Astyanax mexicanus: one gene and its partner. The protein of the gene in region 1 binds, or shares a complex with, the protein of each later gene. Links are inferred from orthologs where the notes say so. Each region holds a gene or a part of one and is shown on either strand. Other genes may lie near its edges.

Region 1 (7,793 bases):
TTTTTTTGATATCTCACCATGTACAGCGCATGACATCATCAAAAGATTCAAAGAAACCCTTTTTTATTAATATCACTCGCCACTTTTTTAGCCTTTTGTTGCCCTGTCCCAAGTTTTTAAAGCTATGTTGCTGACAACAACTTCTAAATGTGTTAAAAAAAATTGTTATGGAAATGTGTTCTATGTTTTATTGTTAATAAAATAGGGCTCTATGCTATTTTAAATCATTGCATTTTTTTTTTTTTTACATTTTCCACAGCATCACAACTTTTGTGTATTAGAGGTCATAAGTGGAAACATTTATATACCAATTATACAAATATTTTGTGCTAATAGATTGTGCAATGTGTACAAATCCTGCCCTTAAAAACTACTCTAGGAAATAAAGAAGCAATTCATTTCTGTCAATATATGGCTTATTTCATAGCTTATTTCATATGCTCGTGGATTAGAAGATAAGCTCAAGTGAATTCAGTAAACATTAATTCACATGAAGTCAAGGAAATCCAGAATGGCATTTCAGTCTTATCACATTGAATTCAATCACCCGGCTAAGTCTTAAGCAGCCGTCTTCTTTCAGACATTTTATCCGCCGCTCTTCTTCACAGTGTTAATCATCTGCAAAATCAATTAAAATCTGAAGCAAGCTGAACTTGTGTTAATGCAGCGAGACCTTCAGTTCACTCACGCTGCAGGAGGCCTGTTTGCCATCAAATTATATTTCTTTATTAGGCAGTAAAAGCTTCCAGCCGGCAGCTCCAGTGAAAGACAGGAGGCAGCGCTTGCCAAGGAGAGAGAAAGCTCTGGGCTGACCCTGCGCCCTTCAACTGTGCCCATCCAGAGCCAACACAGAGGGGTGCAGACCCAGAGTCAGGGTAAATATGTCTCTGCATATGTCCAGGACAGATTTTGTGTGTGTGTGTGTGTGTGCTTAATGAAATCATTTCTGCAGTCTGTGGTATGGTATTAGACAGGGGAATCTAGGCATTTTAGAGTCATATTGTCCTGTATGAGATGACTGCAGCAAATAAAGCATGAGGTCATTGTTATACTGGCCACCAGATGGCGCCCTGGACTACTATACTAGACCTTTCACATTTTTTAATTAGAACACATGAAATTAAATGATACCTAGATTGGAAGACTATTTTAAGTCTATGTTTAAATAAAAGATTTTAACCCCTTAACAGGCCAGGATTCTTTTTAATTGTCTACCTGACAACCACTAAATGTTGAGGATTCTATTCAAGAATTACATAAAAAGTTCTCGTGTTTGAAAAGGAAAATTACAGGAAAGCATAATTGTAATAGAAAAATATAATAACATCTTTAAGTAAATCTGCTAATGTCAAAATATAATAAATACATAAAATTAATTCTATTGATTCATAAAATTGGCTCTTTCCTGGACTTCATTTTAAGATCAATATTTTCCTGAATACAAATCAAACGGTTTATGTCCTCCAAACCTTTAGTTTTGTTATCTTTGTCTAGTCTTTTTTCAAACCTGCAGAATTTGGGTTGATTTCTGTTACTGATCTGGAATTATTAAGTGGAGTAGAGAGAATACAGGGAGCTTCTCCAAGTTGTGCAATGTTTCAGAATGTAAATAAGTTATTCTACTGCAGAAGAAAGGGTTTTGTATCACCTAGACCTGTAGCCTGTATACGGGACAAGACATTTTATGGGGTTAACCAAAACTGATATCTAGGCCAAAATAGGAAAAAACTCACCCCACTCCCTATACCCTACAATTAAAGAGACCATATGGAAATAGATAAGCTGGTTATAATTAAAGGTAATACACATTTCAAATTTCAAACCACTGTAATGCTAGTATTTGTCATCTGAGCTTCATCATAGCCAAATAAATGAGCACTTTTGAATCAGGTCAACTATAGAGGCTGTTATTGTCATTCCATTAGGGGTGAGACAATATACCGATATATAATTTTGACTAAAGTTATTGCTTCATTACTTCACATAGTGGCACTATTCAAATGAACAGGGTAAACCTATCGGTTGTCAAATTCTGTGAAACTGACAACAGTAAATATATAATTCCTGGTATTTACTTATTTAGGAGTATATTATCCTCATCGGTAACATAGGTGCCATGAAGTATTGTAGAGAATTGTCACAGTATTGTGAAACCATCTTGATAATATTGTATTATGAGATGACCTGTGATTCCCTCCACTACATTCCATCATCCATCCTTTACAAAACAGACAAATATTATTAGATTTTGTTTCTACTGAATTAAACTAATACTTATTTTGTTGCATTTTAATATGTTCCTGAAATTAACAGAATATTTTATTCATATCATCAAAAATATTGTTAAAATTGTTACAAAATACCCTTGAATATTGTGATATTATTTAAGGCCCATTTTCCCTCCTAGCGCTGGAAAATATATTGATATTTTATCATATTGTAATACAGTTGTTTTTTCCGTATCGAAAATATGCCTACCGAGGATATCATTCCTGCTTTAAGAACACTGAGATGAACTGTACATTTTATTACAGAGTGTGTAAAAAAATCCTGATAAATGAATCGTGTGTAGCAAAAATGTTATGTAAATAATTGTACTGCATACATGAAAGTGTTTGGAGTATTTGAATAGGATTTTTTTTTTTATCTGCCGCACGACAAATACTGTGTAACATAAGATTATATTAGATTAAATACTGTGATATAATATTTTAACATATTGCCCAGCTCTATCAGTGCATGATTATGTACACCAACGCCGGTTTATACTGATTATATCTGTGTTATAATTATTCTGTATTGACTAAGATTAAGGCATAGCTAACGAGCTTATCGTGATAAACATTTTGGACATATCATCCAGCACTATGCCTCATCCTTGTGTTGTGTAGTGTTTGGCTAAGAAAACGGTAAAACTCAACCCAAACTAATGACTCACTCACAGGTGACCTGTATGTAATATTTGTAATTGTCATTTTAGCTCAATTTTTTTTGTCAAATTTATCAGATATGGAATCAATTAATATGGCCAGCTCGACAGTAATTGCAGTGTGTTTTTTTGTAGAAAGAATTAAAAACACCACTATAACTTGTTTTTTGCTTCTTCTAAATGTCTGAAACTGATATTCATTCAGACTAAACACAAGTTTCAGGTTTATTTTGTTTCAGTTGTATGCTCCTGAAATAAATAAAATATTTTAGTGTTTTTTTTTTTTCATACCGTCAATACTATTGTTAAAAAATATATTTCAATACCCTTCAATATTGTGATAATATTTTTAGATATATCATATATTGCCCAGCACTGGTGTTGTGTAGTCTTTGGCTAAGCTAATGGTAGACACCTGCACACAACTTTATTCACAGGTGACAGTTTTTATTTATTTATTTATATTTTTTAAATATTTTTTTGTTTTGCTTTGTTTTGTTCATAATGTCAATAATATCATTAAAATTGTTAAAAAAAAATCCGCTTCAATATCGTGATAATTTTTTAGCCACATATAATGCCCTGCCCTGGTGTTTTGTAGTCTTTGGCTAAGCTACCAGTAAACACCTGCACCCAAACTAATACCTCACTCACACATTTTTTTTATAAATCGAATACTGCTAGATTAACAGTTATAGCAGCTTGTTTTTTTTTTCTTTTGAATGTCTGAAACTGATATTCATTTGGACTAAACACAACTTTCAGGCTTATTTTGTTTAAACAGAATGCTCCTGAAATTAATAAAATATTTTAGTGGGTTTTGTTTTGTTTTTGTTTTGTTTATACCATTCATAATATCATTAAAATTGTTAAAAAAAAAAAACCTTCAATACACTTCAATATCGTGATAGTATTTTAGGCACATATTGTCCTGCCCTGGTGTTGTGTAGTCTTTGGCTAAGATACCGGTAAACACCTGCACCCATACTAATACCTCACTCACAGGTGACAGTTTTTATTTTAATCTTTTGCTCTATATATTTTTTTTATCGATCTTACCGGATGTGGAATGAAGTAACACTGCCAGATTAACAGTATTAGCAGCGTGTTTTTTATTTCTTCTGAATGTCTGAAACTGATATTCATTTACACTAAACACTACTTTCAGTTTTTTTTTTAATAGTATGCTTCTGAAATGAATACAATGTTTAACTTTTTTGTTTTGTTTATACCGTCAATAATATCATTACAATCGTTAAATATATACCCTTCAATATCGTGATAGCCCTGCCCTGGTGTTGTGTAGTCTTTGGATAAGCTACCGGTAAACACCTGCACCCACACTAATACCTCACTCACAGGTGACCGTTTTTTTTTTTTTTTTGCTCTATAATTATTTTATCGATCTTACCAGACGTGGAATGAAGTGACACTGTCAGATAAAGAGTAATAGCAGTGTGTTTTCGTGTGGAAGGAGTTAAAACACGGCTCTGCGTGCTCCGGGGGGCGTATGGAGGGGCGTATCTGTCCAGAGGCAGAGCTGAGTGTGCTTCCGTGTTTACTCCCCCGCGGGCAGAGAGGGGCAGGCGGGCGGCCGCTGGAACACAGTCAGGCGCTTAGCGACCGGGAGAGCAGCGGCTCGAGGACACCGACTGGATGGTAGAGAGGAGGTAGAGAGGAGGTAGAGCGGGCTTCAACATTGACTTTTACAGCGGAATGTTCACCCGAAGGGGCTATGGAGACGTCAAGAAATCTACACAGAAAGTTCTGGACCCAAAGAAGGATGTTTTAACCCGCTTGAAGCATCTCCGCTCACTGTTAGGTGAGTCTCGCAGCTCAGCTCTGATGCTGTGTGACACTGTGACAGCACCACTCACCGTGTAGCAGCCTGGCTAACCTAGCTTAGCTTTCACCTAGAGCTAGCTAGGTGTTATGTATGTATTAGCTGTGTGTGTTTGTGGCTAGCTAGCGTTAGCTAAATGCAGTGCAGGTCGTCGTGCCTTTGTTTCCCTGAATGAACATGTCTATTTTTCTTAAAATAAACAGAGAAACCTGAATTGTGTCTGTATTAAGCGATGAAAGGGGCTGCCATTGCATTATGTTTGTTTAGCTTAGTTAGCGTTAGCTAACATAGCTGGCAGACTGGTAATGCTAGCTAACGTTAGAGTCAGGTGTCATTTGGGCTTAATTGTTCAGCTGTGGCTAACGCTAACTATAGCTTGTGTTCTTTCTGCCTTAGCCGGTTAGCTAGCTAGCTTGCTAGCTGTAGCTATAGGTTAGCTGGGGTAGCTAGCCTCCGAGAGTCTTTAGGCAGCAAAATAAGCCGACTAATTAACTAGCTTAATTTTCTACCTGCCTATTGTGTCTAGTTCTTAAAATAGCCACCACTATTTTACACTCGGCTGTTAACGCTAGCTAACGTTGGCTAGCTTCACTCTAGCTACTGGCTCTATTCTTTGCTTGACAGCAGCTGCAGTAGCATTGTGTGACTATCCTCATATCACCCTTAGAAAATATGGTTATGGATTTTGCACGTTTCTTGCCTGGTCGTTTAAACAGTAGTAGCACGCAGTACTGCACATCACTTACACAGCTTTCCTGTCACCCAAAACATCTCCAAAATGTCATGTTTTTTTATTATTTCTAAAACAAATATTTCAATTATTAGCATGGCACAACAGCAGTCTTATTGGATAGTATGTGAGTATATACAGCTCTGGAAAGAAAATAACAGACCACAAAGATTTATGTGTTCCTTTTTTCCTCTGGAATATAATCAAGACGAAGATGGATAATCACAAGCCATCCAACTGCTTAAATGTTTGCACCAGGTGTGGCATAAAATTATCTAAAAGCAGTGTGTAAGACTGGTGGAGGAGAACATGCCAAGATGCACGAAAACTGTGATTAAAAACCAGGGTTATTCCGCCAAATATTGATTTCTGAACTCCTAAAGGTATACGAATAAAAACTTGTTTTCTCTGCATTAAATAAATGCTCTAAAACAATATTTTTATTTGGAATTTGGGAGAAATGTCTGTAGTTTATAGAATAAAACAACAATGTTTATTTTACTCAAACATATATCTATAAATAGAAAATTCAGAGAAACAGATTCAGAAACTGAAGTGATCTCTTATTTTTTATTTAAGAGCTGTATACGTATGTGTGTGTGTATATATGATAGTAGCTGCAGCATTGACAGAAACTGCAGAATTGTGTGGCTATTCTTATGTCACCCTAAAAAATATAAATTATGTAGCTAGTTATATTAGTTTTGTACGTTTCTTGCCTGGTTTAAGGTGTTTTTACACACTCAAACAGTAGCACACGGTACTGCACATCACTTATAACTATAGTTATATAGTTATATTGTTCTTTTTAACCAAAACATTGCAAACATTTTCAAGTTTTTACAGGAGAACAAGGAAACATTATCTTTCAATGGAAGTCAGTGTTAAAATAATTGATTCCATTTTAAAATACAACATTACTGGCCCTCGGTTGTATGTATAAAGCGAAAACATTCTAGACCAAGTTGATCTAGAAATAGATCCTCTTTCGTTTTGGGCATTCAAAGGGAAACACTGAAAAATAAAAAGGATAAAAGATTGTATAGAATTCTCACTTATGAGGCAAAAAATAATATCTTATTGTGACTTGTATGCTATATTCATCAACAGATTTATTATTAATCGAATTTGGTCACACTATCTTCAGTTTGTCAATAGTTGGGATTGCAAACAGATAAATCTACTATGAGATTTGTTAACAGATTTTGTTTGTGTAACATCGCTAATGTTTTGTGGTTTATATCACTTTTGAATGTGAGCTTGTTTGTTACTAGTTTGTTTGGTGATGCCATAAAAAGTCCAAGCCATTTTAAAGCGTATCTGTTGGTCCATTTATATGATTTAAATTGGACACAGTGTTAAAAAAAACAACTGTCACAATCAAATTAGTTATGTCACAAAGTGAGTAAAAAGGTTGTTGCTTGTTGAAAGTGATAATATAAAGTATGTAGCCTGTAGAAGGTGTTTATAAGGTGTCAGAAGTTCACAGTAGTGTGTGTGTGTGCTCTTGGATAGCCCAGAATTATATTTGGTTAGCTACAGTGCTCAAGTTACTCACAGCTACAGAGACTTCCTGTGCCAGTGTCCTGATGAGACATCTGACCAGCAGCAGACCAATATAGGGCTGTTGTTGACAAGCAAATCAGATTTGCCTCTTATTTATCACTTACACATGTTTGAGTCCCAGCTAACTGTAGCTGGTTTTGGCTAGTGTCAGCCTGGGCAGTTTACATGGAAAGCAGATCAGAAATGTTTGTTTTTATGTTAGTTATGTGATCTTTAGGCTTGGGCCTATGTGTGTTACTTTTTTAAGCATCGTTCTAAAACTAGTGTGACCTGCATTAGACTGCACAGCAGTGCTTTCACCAGCATAGGTTTCCCAGATTATCTATGATGAATGTTGCAAAGCTTGACTACTGACCTACCTGTCATTTTGAGCAGAAGTTGTGGCATAACCTTAACCTTAAATGACGTCTGTTTTCCAGAAGGCTTTGAAAGACTGCAAAGCTCAGCATGCATATCTCAGTGTCTTGAACCTTGCTGTCAAACATAATTGAGGTTTGATACTTTCACATCCAGAGTATTAACTGTTTGTGAATACAGAGAAAACATATTGTTCTTATGTGTTGTTGTTTTTTTTTTGAAAGTTTCTTTCACTGTTGGAGACTTCTTCAGGAAGTCAGCTGTACTGAACTCTCGTGTGCTGTTGATTGTTAAAAATTACTGTTCACCTTCACTGACAGTTTATTCTATGGATGCACAATGATTTTGGAATCACATCGGTGTCAGCA
Region 2 (7,783 bases), on another chromosome or scaffold:
TCATGTCACATGGATCGGATACGAATCCAAATTAAGACCACATACGAAAAAATGAAAGTGACTCAAATCTGATTCAGGAAAAACGGATTTGGCACAGTCACACAGCTATGAAAAAAAAATCAGATCTGAAATCTGATCCGATTTGAGTCACTCCAGCCCGGTAATGTGAACGCAGCCTAAGGTTTAGTTTCAGAACCATAAATTTAACTAAATGTAAATACCCCTAAAAGAACCCGTTAATACACATCAATAAGTCACAGCAGGCAGCACGTGGACCATAAAAAGGTTCTTTATTGTGATGAATGTACAGCAGCAGATCACACTCTTTAGCGGTAGCGGTGCAGCTGCAGGGTGTTGCGTCTCCTCCAGGCGGCGCGGCGAGAGCCGCCGATGGTAAGGTGGAACTTGTGGCCCTTGCCCAGGCCGCGGCTCTTCTTGCCGGCGGACGTGAGGCCGCGCATTTCCCTGTGCTTGTGCACGGCCTTCGTGATCCACTGGGTGTCGGGGTTGCGTCTGATGGCCTTGTGGAAAGTGTCGATAAGGATCACCTCGAAGAACTTGTACGTGGAGTCTTCTCCCACCCAGTAAGAGCTCAGCACACGGAGACCCCCGCAGTGACGGCCGGCACGCTCCTGAAACACGGCAGAGAGAGAGAGAGAGAGAGGAGCTTCAGAAACGATCCAGAATTACCAACACCAGCCTCAACCAGGAGCCGGTATCATTTTAATGTCCTCAATACTGATACAATACTTTAAATTCAATACAAATACTTAAACAATACTTTTATACATTTTATTCTAAACTACCAAAAAATACAAAAAGTGATATTCACAGTGCATTTATTTAACAATGGACATGAGTAATCACATTTTGTTTGTGGTGCTTTATTAAAAATAAAAAAAAAGCAGCAATATTTTAAAGCATATATATTTGTTCCTAAGCATACAGCTGGTTTTTAGTTCTTATTAAGAAATATAAATCTAAAATGCTCACTCTTTCCTGACTTTCACCTGCTGTACAGAAGTTTATATTAAAAAATCTTTAATATAAACTTCCGCTAGAGATCATTTACATACCTCAGCAATGGACTGGAGGCTGCGAGCGAATTTGATCTGGTTGACTCCGTGGTGTACGGGCTTTCCGTAGGTGGCACCTTTGGGCACGGGGCGCTTACGGCCACCACGGCGCACGCGCACACGGTAGATAACGTAACCTGCAGAAAACAAATTCAAGATATCAGAGATCCAGATCCAAACAGCACAGATTATACAGAGAAGACAAGCTGGAGAACACTCACCAACACTAAACAGAGATTAAATAAAGAAAGTTCACACTGCAGCCGAGAACATCGCTTCACACAGCCTGAACTAGCTTCTAATTTACACACAGGACGCTGCAGACGAGTTCTAGCTTACAATCATAGTGTGACCTGTGACGTTGCTATATTGTGTTTGACAATTTTGTTTAATATAAAAAATAGCTTAAAAAGGTTGCAAATATGCGAGATGAACATTTTCAGTAGTAACCAGAAGTAATTTCACCTTGAAAAAATGCTATTTTTCCTAGATCTACAAACTTTATTACAGGTCAAACTCACCCAGAACAGAACAGGAGGGTTTACAGTTTACAGATTTTGTAGTGAGTGTTGTACAATACAGATTTAATACAGTCTTTAATACATTGGGAAGCTACATGCTTTCAATCATGATAACCAGAAAACTAGCACTGTCCACACACTGTCCTCATGAAGCTGGATGCAGCACAAACTAAACTGCAGATGAATCACTCAGCTTTAATTCAGAGAGAACAGACAGCAAGTCATTAAGAAGTAGATTTGTGTAAAACCATAAGCTAATGTAAATCTGTGCCAGATTAAAAAGTTAAGGTGCCAAAATTGCAAATCAGTAAAAAAAAAAAAAAAAGAGATGAGTTCAGTAAGGGAAATCACAGCAAAACGTGAGTTTAATTTAAATGTAATTCAGCACGAGCGTCCGGGACTCACCCTGCTTGGCCTTGTACCCCAGTCTGCGGGCTTTGTCGGCTCTGGTGGGTCGGGGAGCGCGGTGGAGGGAGGAGAGCTGGCGGTACTGCCAGCAGCGAACGCGGAGCAAAAAACGCATCACGTCCGACTGCTTCTTCCTCCACAGCTCCTGCATATACTTGTACGCGCCCATGTTGCCTCACCTGTAGCACACACACAACAGTTCATGAACAGGTTAGAGCAATGGTACCATTTAAAGAGTGATGCACAAGTTAATTATTTTTCCTTTACATTTCATTAACAAATATTAAGCAGCCCCCTTCAACCCTAAATGCAGGTTTTACATTAAACAAAGTATTTGTTGTAATTAATACCACAAGTCCTTTACAGGTTTCTCACAGAAGCACAAGCCCATCTACAGAGATTTACTTGATTGTCCCTTTTCGCAAATCGCATTAGAACAATACATTTGTTTAATCAAATTAATTAAATGAACATCCCAATCCTGTTTTTCAAATGAGAGTCAATGTAAACATGTTTAATTCCATAACAAATCAATTTACAGGATTTTAAGAATGATTGAAAGTAACTCATTTTAGAGAAACAAGAACACACTAAACACTCAACACTTTAATATGCGGTTTCTATTAGTTGAGTTTTTGTAGTGGAACCACAGTACACAGTAACATTAATTCATTACATCATTAAGTATTAAGCATTATTTAGGGGTGACAGCTTTCTGCCAAGTTAGTTTACTAACTAGGAAGCTTCTTATTTGTACTAGAGAATTAATAAGACTCGTGTTAGAATAGACAGCTCTTAGATCATTAAAATATAGTATATATTTATGATTATTAAGCTTTGTCAATGCCTAGGGGGAACACATACTGATTTACATCGCTGAACGTTAACTAGATGTAAGAGAGGTTAGTGTAGCTCATATCTGTCAGCTTATTCTTAAGAAAAATGATAGTAAATTATTCGTGTAAATAAATAAAGCTGCATTAGAAACCTGCAGGCAGAGACACACAGACACCATGCGAACCGTCCAACATGCAGCTCAGCCAGGCTAGCTAACGTTAGCGCTAACTAAAAAGGTTAACACAGTAATAAAACTCCTAATAAATAAAAATACACAAATCTTTAAACTGATACAGAGGCCTGTTTTAACTTATAAAGCCTCCATTTCCCACGTTAACCCTCTATATACAGCTATATGTATAAATACACACACAGACCGGCTCCAGCCTGCCCTACACTCTCACACACTGAACACAGCGCCGCCGCTACCCGCTAAAATCCGCCTCAAAAACACACAAATCTCCCCTAAATCAACTAAATAACGACCCGCAGCGCATCCCTACACTCTCCGCTCTCACTACACAAATTATAACCCCCGGATGGCCGGATTCTGAGGGTGATTTTAAACAGATTTCATCTCCACCAAAACAGAAAATCTCCCTTACTTGATGGCGTACTAAGCGGAAAGGAAGAGCCAAGGACCCGGATCTCTTTATCAAAACGTCACAGCAGTGTTTCCGGCGGCGAAGTGCGCTACAATTGTGGGAAATGTAGTTCAAACAGGGCAACTTTATAAAATAAGGATAATAAATTAAGATATGCTATAAAATAATAATAATAATAATAATAATAATAATAATAATAATAATAATAATCCTACAAAAGTCCTTTACATTTAGTAAAGTAGAAACACAAGGACTTTTATAATTTATGTTAAAGGTTTGACGTTTTAGTTTGACAAGATTTCAAACATTTTTATCTCAAACAAAATTGATATATATGGTAAATAAAAATATTGTTTATTTGTACTTGTTGTAAATGTAAATGTTTGAAAATGAAGGACTAAAATATTATAAGTATATGTAAAATACAATAATACATGCATTTGACAATTCTGCAATACATCTACAATGATGTTGTGTGTAAAATGAAGAACTACACGCTCATATGCATTTATTTTCCATGTTTTAAGAAAATGTATTTTTAAATGAGTTTTAATTTAAAATGAGTCATAATTCTGAAATGAAATATCACTCTGAGCTTCTGACAGAGCTGCCAGTTTAGAATGCAGTATAACTGTATAGAGTTACTGTATACATATATTATATAGACGTGTACACAGGGTTTGGTTTCAACTTGATATTCCATATTCTATATTTATGTCTTAATTTTGGTATAATGTGGATATATACTTGGGTCTATATTTGTGTCTATTCAGAGGTGTATATATTAGAGCTATATATTAAGGTCTATATATTAGTGTATATATTAGTATGTGTGTTTGTGTGTTTGTATGTGTTTCTCTCTGCAGGTAAGAAGAGGAACAGAAGCGAGGCGGAAGCTGGAAACTGGAAACTGGTTTCCATAGTAACGCGGCTGCACCCGGAAGTGAACTGACCGCAGGTAAAAGCCCTGTTTATGAGGGTTTATAAAACAGGATCAGCACAGTGACCCTCCCGCTTATTAATAAATATAACTATATAACTATAAATATATCTATAACTATAACTAAAGGATTAATCAGGTAACCGCTGATCTCTGAGAGAAGGTGAGGCTGATTTTATTTATTAGATCAGTTTTTATTAAACCCCGCTTTTAGCTGTAGTTTAGGTTAGCTCGAGCTCTCTGTGTTACACCAGTTTAGCTTTAGCTGCATAAAATTATAGTGTTCTCATTTTAAATAGTGTTTTGTTGTGATATCATTACTGTAAGGTTAATGTGTTTAATGAAAGTGATTAATGGTAAAATAATTATAATTGTTGATGATAATTTATCAAATTTATTATATAATACATAATACAATATTTTTTATTATATATTATAATAATCATAATGATTCTTTTTTAAGCAGTGTAAATATTGTTTATGTGTATGTGTTATGTGTGTTTGTTATGATTGTTGTTGTTAATTGTTATTATGCTTTGACAGCAATATACCCTCACACAGTCCTGATAATAAAGATACATTAAGTTGAATTGAATTGAAATTAATAGAATTAAATTGAGTAAAATCTGAGTATCTGCTGCAGCTGTATGATTCGATAGTTTTCTTTTCTTTAATTCTATTCTGTTCTCTATTCATTAATTGCAGGTGTTTTTGAGGAGCAGCTGATTATGGGAAAAGGCTGTAAGGTTGTGGTTTGTGGTTTTGCCTCTGTTGGTAAAACAGCGATTCTTGAACAGTTACTGTACGGAAACCACAGTGTGGGTTAGTCCTTCATTTTCCACATCTTTCTACTAAAACTACGTCTAGTATAAATTAGTATAAATTGCAGCCTATTATTGAGCTGGTTGCTTTTTCATGCCTGTTGGGCTGTCCTGACAAACTTCCCCACCAAGTACGTCTTTATAAACTGTAGGAAAATGACTGAAGTGTAACTTAAATATGTAAGGTAGATGCAGGGAGCCCAAACATCAGGTTTGTTTCTGTTATTTCAAACAGTAAAATGTGGAAATGCAGCGATTGTGCTTGAAACTACTTTTAAAAGGTCATCTAATGTTAATGTTAATCAACTTTTAAAGACAGAGCTCTTCAAAGAGCACTTACTCTCCTAACACCTCTAACATACTAACTACTCTACACTTATTTCCCTCTTCCCTTTATTTCCTCCTTATTTCCCTCTGACCTCCTTTAGGCCCTGTCTAAAAATGTTTTTACCTTAAATGTCTACTACTCTGTACATCATTATTGGACAAAAGCGTCTGCCACATGTAATGTAATGTAATGTTATGTAATGTAATGTAATGTTATCTTATGCCTTCTAGAAATTAGGTCATACATTTGTTTTTTCTGACTTTTTCTAGTTAGAATTATCGATATCTTACCGAGAAGTAAGATATCTGTAACTAAGAATGATTTTACAGATCTGTAGATGTTAATCATAATATTTTGAGTGGACAGAAACACTGTGTACACTGTGAATTTGATCCAGAAATAAGGAACAGTTCTGGAATAGCTGGAATTACAATTTGTACTAGTTAATAAGAATAAAAATCCTTCAGTCTTTGTTGTTCACAGTTGCTGAACACTATAACATATCTCTCCTGATTTTGTGTCTATTGTGTGAATTTACTTTCTCCAGCGTGCAGAAATACAGAGTATTTGACTCAGTTCTGATCGATTGTATTGAATAAACTGCATTTATCACATGACTCTGTATAAAGTGTTTTTCTGTGGTTCAGGAGCAGAACTGAATGAAACTCAGGAGGATATTTATGTTGCGTCTGTGGAGACGGATCGTGGAGTGAGAGAGCAGTTACGGTTATATGACACCAGAGGGCTTAGAGACGGACAAGATCTTCCTAAACACTATTTCTCTGTGGCGGATGGATTTGTGCTGGTCTACAGCGTCGACAGCCTGGAGTCCTTCAAGAAAGTCGACCTGCTGAAGAAAGAAATCGACAAATCCAGAGACAAGAAAGAGGTAAAGAGACGGACGACAGTGAAGACATTCGTAACTATTTTATATAGGGCAAAATCCATAACAACACAGTATATTTCTGCACAGTATATGTTTTCTGATTCAGGTTTTCTTAGGAAAGTCAAATATATTGACTGGTTATTATTTGGGGATGCTTTAAAAGGTTTTTTTATGTTTTTTACACGAATGATTATGCTCTCAATATATACAGCTCTGTAAAAAATGAAGAGAGCACGTCAGTTTCTGAATCAGTTTCTCTGATTTTGCTATTTATAGGTTTATGTTTGAGTAAAATGAACATTGTTGTTTTATTCTATAAACTACAGACAACATTTCTCCCAAATTACAAATAAAAATATTCTCATTTAGAGCATTTATTTACAGAAAATGAGAAATGACTGAAATAACAAAAAAAGATGCAGAGCTTTCAGACCTCAAATAATACAAAGAAAACAAGTTCATATTCATAAAGTTTTAAGAGTTCAGAAATAATCAATATTTGGTGGAATAACCCTGGTGGTTTTTAATCACAGTTTTAATTTCATGCATCTTGTCATCATGTTCTCCTCCACCAGTCTTACACACTGCTTTTGGATAACTTTATGCTGCTTTACTCCTGGTGTAAAAATTCAAGCAGTTCAGTTTGGTGGTTTGATGGCTTGTGATCATCCATCTTCCTCTTGATTATATTCCAGAGGTTTTATATTTGGTAAAATTAAAGAAACTCATCATTTTTAAGTGCTCTGATCTGTATTTATACACTGTACCCTCTGTGTATATATATATATGTATATATCTGTCTCCTGTAGGTGATGGTGATCGTTCTGGGTAATAAGGCTGATCTGCGGGAGCGTCGGCAGGTGGAGCAGGAGGTGGCTCAGCAGTGGGCTCGTGGGGAGAAGGTGAAGCTGTGGGAGGTGAGCGTTACGGAGCGCAGCTCCCTCATCGAGCCGTTCACCACGCTCACCAGCCGCCTCACCCAGCCCCAGAGCAAATCCGCCTTCCCCCTGCCCGGCCGCAAGAGCAAGGGAACCCCCGCCAACGACATTTAACCAGATCCAGCTCCCCGCAAAATCAGCATTCCCACAGACCAGCACTGTCTCACCATTAGTGGAGTTCGAGTTTTAAAGAATTGAGTTTAATAGTGAAAATTATGATCTTATACACTTATTTATACGTTAGTAATTAATACATTGCTTAGATGACTTGGGTTCGAATAAAGCAGGACTGTTTTCGATTGGCTGATCACAGAAACATCACTGTTCTAATAGAAAACTGTAAATATAAGCAGGAGGTTGCAGGTTCGAATCCCGCTCATGCAGCTTTGCCATCAAGCTGCCAGCGCTCAGAGGGAGCAAAAT

The links.
Region 2: the proteins of ralgapa2 (region 1) and nkiras1 are in contact, whole or in part, in a crystal structure (PDB 9QU1), measured with the Homo sapiens proteins. The link is inferred for Astyanax mexicanus from reciprocal best matches to the Homo sapiens genes RALGAPA2 and NKIRAS1. Residues at the interface, in NP_065076.2 of Homo sapiens: Pro20, Lys21, Tyr51, Ser52, Gln53, Phe56, Tyr59, Glu60, Ile63, Arg99, Phe102, Arg103, Trp104, His105, Tyr106, Gln107, Ser108, Lys185, Ile186, Tyr187, Pro188, Glu189; in NP_001364280.1 of Homo sapiens: Lys6, Glu22, Leu24, Leu25, Tyr26, Glu34, Met39, Glu40, Asp41, Val42, Tyr43, Met44, Ala45, Ser46, Val47, Glu48, Lys54, Gln56, His58, Tyr60, His74, Tyr75, Ser77, Phe78, Lys108, Thr162.

What each region holds. Positions count from the first base shown.
Region 1 is NC_064421.1:20,844,909-20,852,701, reverse strand, and holds the start of ralgapa2 (ral GTPase-activating protein subunit alpha-2), read left to right. Parts: upstream 1-4,497; 5' UTR 4,498-4,645; coding exon 4,646-4,751; intron 4,752-7,793.
Region 2 is NC_064410.1:354,241-362,023, reverse strand, and holds the start of nkiras1 (NF-kappa-B inhibitor-interacting Ras-like protein 1), read left to right. Parts: upstream 1-4,387; 5' UTR 4,388-4,550; intron 4,551-5,092; 5' UTR 5,093-5,115; coding exon 5,116-5,209; intron 5,210-6,183; coding exon 6,184-6,425; intron 6,426-7,231; coding exon 7,232-7,474; 3' UTR 7,475-7,783. Other genes in the region: rpl15 (60S ribosomal protein L15), read right to left, coding at 327-632, 1,077-1,213, 2,003-2,174. UniProt on the Homo sapiens protein: Atypical Ras-like protein that acts as a potent regulator of NF-kappa-B activity by preventing the degradation of NF-kappa-B inhibitor beta (NFKBIB) by most signals, explaining why NFKBIB is more resistant to degradation.